Regions from separate parts of the Mus musculus genome. Here region 1 is reported to be linked to region 2. Evidence: microRNA targets listed by miRTarBase, many of them from high-throughput screens and not tested one by one. Region 2 holds a microRNA gene; the other region holds the end of a gene's coding sequence.
What was found. Region 2 holds the annotated microRNA mmu-miR-7a-1-3p (CAACAAAUCACAGUCUGCCAUA, at 2,675-2,696, shown strand). A microRNA usually pairs through its seed, bases 2 to 8, with sites in the 3' UTR of a target mRNA and lowers its output. Matches are read on the target gene's strand: a 7mer-m8 pairs with bases 2 to 8, a 7mer-A1 pairs with bases 2 to 7 and ends in A, and an 8mer does both.

Region 1: miRTarBase lists Basp1 as a target of mmu-miR-7a-1-3p. The part of its 3' UTR that is shown has no 7-base or 8-base seed match.

What each region holds. Positions count from the first base shown.
Region 1 is chr15:25,360,732-25,365,264 of GRCm38, forward strand. Basp1 (brain abundant, membrane attached signal protein 1) reads right to left here. Exons shown (of 2, transcript NM_027395.2): 2 at 2,546-4,187. The coding sequence starts at 4,178. The coding sequence ends at 3,498. Among named protein-coding and RNA genes, the nearest start is that of Gm36555, 31 kb to the left of the region's middle.
Region 2 is chr13:58,391,496-58,395,495 of GRCm38, reverse strand. It overlaps Mir7-1 (microRNA 7-1), which reads left to right and starts at 2,610; the gene lies at 2,610-2,717. Hnrnpk (heterogeneous nuclear ribonucleoprotein K) reads left to right here. Exons shown (of 16, transcript NM_025279.3): 9 at 203-331; 10 at 711-1,018; 11 at 1,132-1,186; 12 at 1,337-1,420; 13 at 1,628-1,643; 14 at 1,722-1,804; 15 at 2,131-2,300; 16 at 3,080-4,000. The coding sequence ends at 3,110.

The sequences.
Region 1 (4,533 bases), not on the chromosome of region 2:
TGTGTCAAGCAAACAAACAAACAAACAAAACACTCCTAGTGTGAATCCCAAAACTACTGATGACGCCACGCCACCATGATACATATTTAAGATTGTCCCCTAAGAATCCAGTTTTCAATATTGTGCAAATTAGTTAAAATAGATATCAGATCAAATACACCTGCAATGTTACTGTCCAAAGGCTGGACTGAATCTAAATGATGGTGATAGATCTCACCAATCCTGAAACAATGCCAAAGGCCCCTGGGGTATATGTAACATTTGTGCAGCTCAGTCTCCATGTAGCCCCTCCCCCAACAACTGGAGGCGAGGCTGTCCCTAAAGCTGTAACCTGACTGTGGTATCTGTTCCCCAACAGGGTTGCCTCATCTGGCCTCAGTGGGAGCGAATGTGCTTGCTTTGGCAGAGACTTGATGCACTGGGGGGCGGGGGGGGGTATTTAAGGGGCTCCCGCCCTCTCAGAGGAGAAAGGAGGGGGGATGGGGAAGGACCGCTGGGAGTGGGGACAGTAATTGGGATGTAGATAAAAATAAAAAATAAATTGGTAAGTTTCTAAATAGATATTTTCTCCACTAAATGAAATAATTGGAGTTTGTTGTATGTCAAACTAACATCTAGAAGGAACACTATGAAACTGATGCTCCATTCAAGCCAATCGGGTGGTGGATTTTAGTTGTTACATTGTGGATGTTTAGTTGTTCCATTGCCTGCCTTGGTAAGGAACTCGAGGTCCAGTGCTCTAATGTATAACCGTTAGGAAATAAATGACTAGATGCAGCTCAGATTTTAATGATGCCACACCCTTCAGCGCATAAGCTGAAGTGTGTCACCTTACTTCACGTATCCCATGCAGTGACTCTGGATGGTAAATGTTATCCTGAGGAACCCCTGTTGGCTCTTCTCACCCCAAATTCTGTGAACACTTTAATTAAGATGGTAGGTGGAGAAAGTCAGTCTGTTAAATATTACTTCCACCAAAGCATGTTTCACAGCAATAAATGAATGACATTTAATATTCGTAACTACTCCACAGTAGTTGATAAATTTAATTCATTTTGCAAAAATAAGTATTTTTCATTTTAAAGATAATTTGTAATCTTATACACATCTTCCAGTTTGTTGAGTCTGTTGCCTCCGTAATACACAACCCCGCCCCCACATGATTTTATATATTTGAGGGCAACTGCACTTGCTCTGGATATTCCCTGCTGTTTTTCTTACCTAATATAGTTGGCTGGTGGCTAATGCTTTTACATATTCATGTGTGCTGTGCTGTCATGCAGTAAGAGTTCAAAATCATTTCACTGTAAAAGCAAGAGGTCCAAGGGCTAGACGTGATCGTAGCACGGCCTGAACTCAGAAAGTCCATTAAGCTAGTCCAACTCCACCATTTCTGCTTCTCCAGGTGTGGTACTGATTCCAGATACTCAGAAAACATCTAGAGGGGTTCTCTCTCCTCTGTATGCAGCACACAGGAATAGAATCAGGCTGACTCGGACCCACAGGACCATGTGCACATGCGCATTTCACAGCCTTCACAAATTCTACCGGAAACTGACACTCTAAAAGATGAACCTGTCATGTATTTTTCTGGGCATTTCTCTCCGATTCAGGTCTGAGAAATCTTTGCCATGGCTAGGTCTCTTTCTTTCTTTCTTTCCTTTCTTTCTTTCTTTCTTTCTTTCTTTCTTTCTTTCTTTCTTTCTTTCTTTCTTTTTTTCTTTTTTTTTTTTTTTGTGGTTTCCAGTATCGGATTGGAAAACACCCAAGCAACTCTCTGAGAGACTCGAGAGACAATCACCTCCTTTCTTACCCTCAAGAACTGATGTGCATGCCGAGTCTGTACAAAAGCCACCTTTCTCCAGCCTCTTTCCCCATGTGTGGCACAGGGGGACCCTGAGCACACAGACGGTCACTATTCCAGTAATGGGGTCATCAAAGGGTGACGGCTTAGCACATCTGCCTGTGGTATACATTGCTAGCTGGCACGTGCACAAACTTCTACATATTTCAGCTATCAAGGGGGATCTTGTCTTACAGATCACAAGTTTATGCTCCCTTGAAGCCAAAGCAAGTGAGGTCTGGGTAAGGTGGAAGCAGCTTTCTCCTGGCTATTAACCCATCACGGCGTTCGGGTCCCTCGCCTACCTCTGGTACCAATTGACCTGCAGGCAGGGCAGGCCTAGATGCTGGCCCACCGCTTCACAATTTATACACATAGGATGTTTCTCAAAGATTATAATATTCTTCCCAGCCTTCAAGACACAGCTCTTGGTTGTCATTTAATATTTCATTCACAATATTCACTCTCTTAAAGCATTAATAACCACACCCACACCATGGTTGGGTGTGAATCCTTAGACGGTTTTTCCTGTTCATCTTAGGGGATAGTGGTCTTGGATTCCACTGTTTGGGGTGTTTTGTTTATACCTATATTAGTCAAGAACACTTGAGAATCCTATGTCTTACCTCAGTTCAATTATACTCAGGAAAAGACACCTACATTACCGAAAAGGAGGGGAAAATCAAGCCAAAAGCCAGTTACTACTTTTTAATTGTTTAACTTTATTACTGTTGCACCATTTATACAATTACATATAATTTCAATGCATCCATTGTACATTTTTTTTATTTTTTTATTTATTTTTTTTCCATTTTTCCAATGGGTGGTGTGTTGGTGTCTGAGACACAGATGGAAGAAAACTGGCGCTGCAGTGAACGCAGACTTCTTTTTTTTTTATTTTTTATTTTTTTTTATTTTCATTTCCACTGACCAATAAACAGAACTACAGGTGCACCCAACCACGGACATGCATTACTCGTCGTGAGAAATCTAGGTAGGCTAAGTATGATGAGAGAATGTTTGTCACTCCCAAAAATATCTGGAGAGGAAAAATGGAGGGTTGGCATTGAGATACATGTGGACAAGCTAAGTGGGCTCCGTCTGAAAGTTGGCATTCATCCACGAACGTTTAAAAAAATACCAAAAAAATTAAGAAAAAGGCTGTAAATTAAAAAGGAAACACAGAAAATACTGCTTTCATAAAGATCTGATTGCCTTGGCACTGGTCCTGTGGGCAGAATCAAACGCCTCCCTCCCCAGCTGCATCGCGGGAGAGATGCTGGGGTTTTTAAGGATGGAGCCTAGGGGACAGCGGTTCAGGGTACAGATGATGTACTTTCAGACAATGATCTCGAAAATCCAGGACTGACTGGTCAAGTTGACTGAAGGTATATTAGATATTTCCCCACAAAAATACTATTTGGATTCTCCCCGCCCCCTCCCTCCCCTGATGGGACACATCCTCTTTATTTTTTTTCTCTTTTCTTTTCTTTTGTTTATTTAATCCCTTGGGCAATACATATCCTCACTTCCAATTTGAAACAAGTTAGTATAGGATAGAGACAGAGAGAGGACAGAGTGAGAAACAGAGAGAGAGAGAGCGTGAGAAGACAGGTCGTTTGCGAGTGGCGTCGGTTCTGGTTGGCTGTCCCGGTTACTCTTTGACGGCCACGCTTTGCTCGGAGCTGGCGGCGGCGGCGGGTGCCTCGGCCTGGGGCTCGGCGGCTGCGGGCGCGGCGGGCGCGGGGGCCTTGGCCGCGGAACTGGGCGCCTCGGAGGCGGCGGGCGTCTCCTTGGACGAGGGCGCGGGCTCCGCGCTGCTAGGTTTAGAGTCTGAAGCCGCCGGGGCCGCGTCGCTTTTCGCCTCGGGGCCGGCGGCGGCGGGAGCCTCAGTCTTTTTGGCCTCGCCCTCCTCCGGGGCCGCGCCGTCGGCCGCGCCCGTGCTCTCGGCGCTCGCTTCGCCGGCCTTGGGGGCCTCGCCGCCCGCAGCGGGCCCGGGCGCGGCCGCCTCCTGCTCGGGCGCCGGCGCGGGCTCGGGCTGCTCCTCCGCGGCGCCCTCGCTCTTCTCGGGCTCGGCCTTGGGCGCCTCCTCCTTGGCCGCCGCTGCCTTGTCGGCCTCCTTCTCCTCTGCCTTGGCCTCGCCGTCCGCCGCGTCCTTGGGCTTCTCCTCCGTGCTCTCCTTGACCTCGGTGGCGTCGGCGGCCGCCTGGGGTTCGCTCTCCTTCGGGGTCCCCTCCTCCTCGGTGCCCGCGCCTTCGGCCTTCTTGTCTTTGTCCTTGGCCTTCTCGTCGTTCACATTGTAGCCCTTCTTCTTCTTGCTCAGCTTGCCTCCCATCTTGGAGTTCTGCAAGGAAGCACAGGGGAGACGAAGGGGAGTTAGGGTCAAAGTAGGCAAAGTGGATGGTGGGAGGCTGCCTGCAGGGCGAGGAGGGCGTCGAGGACCTCGGGCACAGCGGGGAGCAGCCTGGACTTCACGGGCATTCTACCATAATCAGAAGTAACAAAGAACAAAGTAAAGCCCCCGCCGCGAAGCCTGCAGGCCAGCAAGTTGGGGGGTGGGGGAGACAAAGAAATGGTGATCAATGACCCAGCTGCCTATAGGGAGGACAGGCGGCATGGTATTGGTCTTATCTATCTACTTTCAAGCATCCAGGAGGCTTGAACACCTTAGCACAAAATGGCAGGGACAG
Region 2 (4,000 bases):
TCAGATCCCTCATCACTATTTAGTTGGGTCTTAAAGTAACAAATCTAAGTTTTGTTAAATTCTCACCATTTCTAGGTCCTGTGTAGTTGACCACATTCTGTATTGAGAGTAATTGGGTTCAAATATCTGAACTTAGGGAGCCTTGATTTTATTTGATGTGCTAACAACTTCTAATGGGTTTTCTCTTTTGTAAATGTTATAGAACACTCAGACAACAATCAAGCTTTTCCAGGAGTGCTGCCCTCACTCTACTGACAGAGTTGTTCTTATTGGAGGAAAACCTGATAGGGTTGTAGAATGCATCAAGATCATCCTTGACCTTATATCTGAGGTATCTTTGGGATATTTTTATTTCATTCAGTTTCATCTAACTACCAGAAATAAGACAGTATTCACACCATTAATTTTGACATCTCCCTGCAAGTTTTTTATTGCCTCCTTTAATATAGTGCCTTTGGTCCTTACTCAAAGGTCCCTGTAGTGCCATGTTACCCACTTCTTACAGAGATATCTGGGGTAATGATCCTTCTGTCTCTGACCCACATCCACCTCCCCGCCCCCCGGTCAGTATGTTAGAAATCCTTTCCATCATTGCTTCATTGTGTCCCTGCCTCTGTTACCTTTTGAGTTAATAATGGTTGAGATGGGTTAATTGATAGGACCAGAGCTATTTTTCTTCAGGCTTTAAGGTGCTGTGTTTCTGTTTTTAGTCTCCCATCAAAGGACGTGCACAACCTTATGATCCCAACTTTTATGATGAGACCTATGATTATGGTGGTTTTACAATGATGTTTGATGACCGCCGAGGACGACCTGTGGGATTCCCCATGAGGGGAAGAGGTGGTTTTGACAGAATGCCTCCTGGTCGGGGTGGGCGTCCCATGCCTCCTTCTAGAAGAGATTATGATGATATGAGCCCTCGTCGAGGACCTCCACCACCACCACCTGGTCGAGGTGGCCGGGGTGGCAGCAGAGCCCGGAATCTGCCTCTTCCTCCTCCACCACCACCCAGAGGGGGGTAAGTTTTTATCCAAACATTAACATTAATAAAAGAGGCTGCACTTAGCAGTGTGTGTGTGTGGGGGGGTGATTTTAATGTGACCATGTAAACATTGCAACATGTGCTTGCAGAGATCTAATGGCTTATGACAGAAGAGGAAGGCCTGGAGACCGCTATGATGGCATGGTAAGAATTTTGATTTATAAGGGCGGCATGTGTGTTTTCAGAGACCTTATAACCAAACATTTGTGTGAGACTGTAGTACTAAGAGCTTTTTTAAAATTGAAATTATTTTCACAGCCCTCTAAAAGTTTGGTATTTATGTATGTAATACAGGTTGGGTTCAGTGCTGATGAAACTTGGGATTCTGCAATTGACACATGGAGCCCATCAGAATGGCAAATGGCTTATGAACCACAGGTTGAGTATCAATAATGTTAATAATGTACATATTGGTAATTTACCTTGACTGTCCATAATAATTGGTCTCCCCTCCCTACCCCTGTAATTTCTTGATTCAGTTTATTTCCTGGATAAACTGGGTATGGGTGGTATGGGAGGACTTTGCTTTTCTAAGCTCTGTGATATTTTAGAAATATTAAGTAATTTTTTTTCTTTTGTTTTTAGGGTGGTTCTGGATATGGTAAGTTTCTTCTTTTTGAAATCAAACATTATTTCAATCTTATTTTTATGTGAACTTGCTGCTCATTATTTAAATCAGACTATTCTTATGCAGGGGGCCGTGGCTCATATGGTGATCTTGGCGGACCTATTATCACTACACAAGTAACTATTCCCAAAGATGTAAGTATTTTTAATTTAGAGTATTTTTAATTCGGGGAATTTACTTACTTGTATTGGTTGCTGCTTCTTGGACAAAGACTTCCAGTTTAGGATTGAGATAATGTTTAAGAACTTAATGGAGGGGGTATTTTGAACCTTAGATCAAATGATACTTAGTGACAAAAAGAAGACAGTTTGGGGTTCTTAAAATACACATATGTAAAATTTATTTCAGGAATTTAAGACTGACGTTCTAAATAAATTACTATAAAGTTATTACATTTTGTCATTGATAAAAGGGAGTAAAATTTCTTTCAAGTCATCATAAACACTTACAATCTTTTCAGTTGGCTGGATCTATTATTGGCAAAGGTGGTCAGCGGATTAAACAAATTCGTCATGAATCTGGAGCATCAATCAAAATTGATGAACCTTTAGAAGGATCTGAAGATCGGATCATTACCATTACAGGAACACAGGACCAGATACAGAACGCACAGTATTTGCTGCAGAACAGGTCAGTTGACCCTTAGCTTTATGTTAGTGTACACATACTAAAACCTTTAAAAAGCTTTTCTTCCCAATTGATTCTTCTTTTAGAAACCATGGTGTTTCCGTCACTTGGGGAATCTAACTTCTAAATATTCTAATTAATAGCTCTGCCTTAATTTTCTTCTGTTTTCTTACTAAAATGAAGACATTCAATACTAATCTTGCTGGAAGAAGCCTTAACCAAGCAAACTTCTCATTTCTCTGGTGAAAACTGCTGCCAAAACCACCACTTGTAATAATTTATACAGAGCCTGTAGAAAATGTAGAAGAGACATTGGATGTTGGCCTAGTTCTGTGTGGAAGACTAGTGATTTTGTTGTTTTTAGATAACTAAAACGACAACAAATCACAGTCTGCCATATGGCACAGGCCACCTCTACAGGACAGATAATGATGGTGCTGTCAAACGCAGCATTTCACACCTTCCTCATGTTCCTTTGTCTTTCCTACCAAGTATTAACAGCTTCCAGTTTCATTTTCTTAACCCTGCACTACTACTGTCTATTAACATTTTCTTGAGTTTTACATTGCTTTAATTTATAGTTGCTATTGCTCTTTAAAAGTTCTTCTAATTGTAATGGACATGTTTATCATTTTAATTTATCATTGAAATTGTCTTAATGTTGATTAAGATGTTTTGAACAAAAATTCTAATTCGTACTTTTTTTTTCTTTTCTTTTATAGTGTGAAGCAGTATGCAGATGTTGAAGGATTCTAATGCAAGATATTTTTTCTTTTTTATAGTGTGAAGCAGTATTCTGGAAAGTTTTTCTAAGACTAGTGAAGAACTGAAGGAGTCCTGCATCTTTTTTTTTTTATCTGCTTCTGTTTAAAAAGCCAACATTCCTCTGCTTCATAGGTGTTCTGCATTTGAGGTGTAGTGAAATCTTTGCTGTTCACCAGATGTAATGTTTTAGTTCCTTACAAACAGGGTTGGGGGGAGGGCATGCAAAAACTAACATTGAAATTTTGAAACAGCAGCAGAGTGAGTGACTTTTATTTTTTGTTCATTGTTGGTGGTTTTAAAAAAAATTCCCCCCATGTAATTATTGTGAACACCTTACTTTGTGGTCACTGTAACATTGGGGGGTGGGACAGGGAGGAAAGTAATAGTCCACATGTCCCTGGCATTTGTTCAGAGCAGTGTGCAGAATGTAATGCTCTTTTGTAAGAAACGTTTTATGATTTTTAAAATAAATTTAGTGAATCTATTTTTGGTGGTCTTTTTTTTTTTTAAGACAATTTCAAATGGTGGTTGAATTTTCCAGCCCACCCCTAAACTAAACACTAAGTTTGATTTTCAGCAGCTCCTCTGTTGGATATAAGTGCACCTCTTGGACATAGACAAAATACATTGGCAAACTCAGTTTGGGTGACTTCTTAATGGTTGGAAAGACTTGGCTTGATAAATTTCCATCACATATTCATGCTTATAATAAGCTTGGGATTTTGTTTGTTTTTGCAAATGTTTGCCACTACTTTTCAACAGTTTTCTGTTAGTTGTGGAGAACTGCGGTGGGGAGCAATACTACAAGAGTTACGCATCTTAAGTATATGCCAGAAGCCTGATGGGCAATGAGCTTTATTAACCAGAGTAAACTTGGTTATGGAAGTGGCTGATGCTGAATAAATCCTGGTTATTTTTGTTAGATAATTTCTCACCTA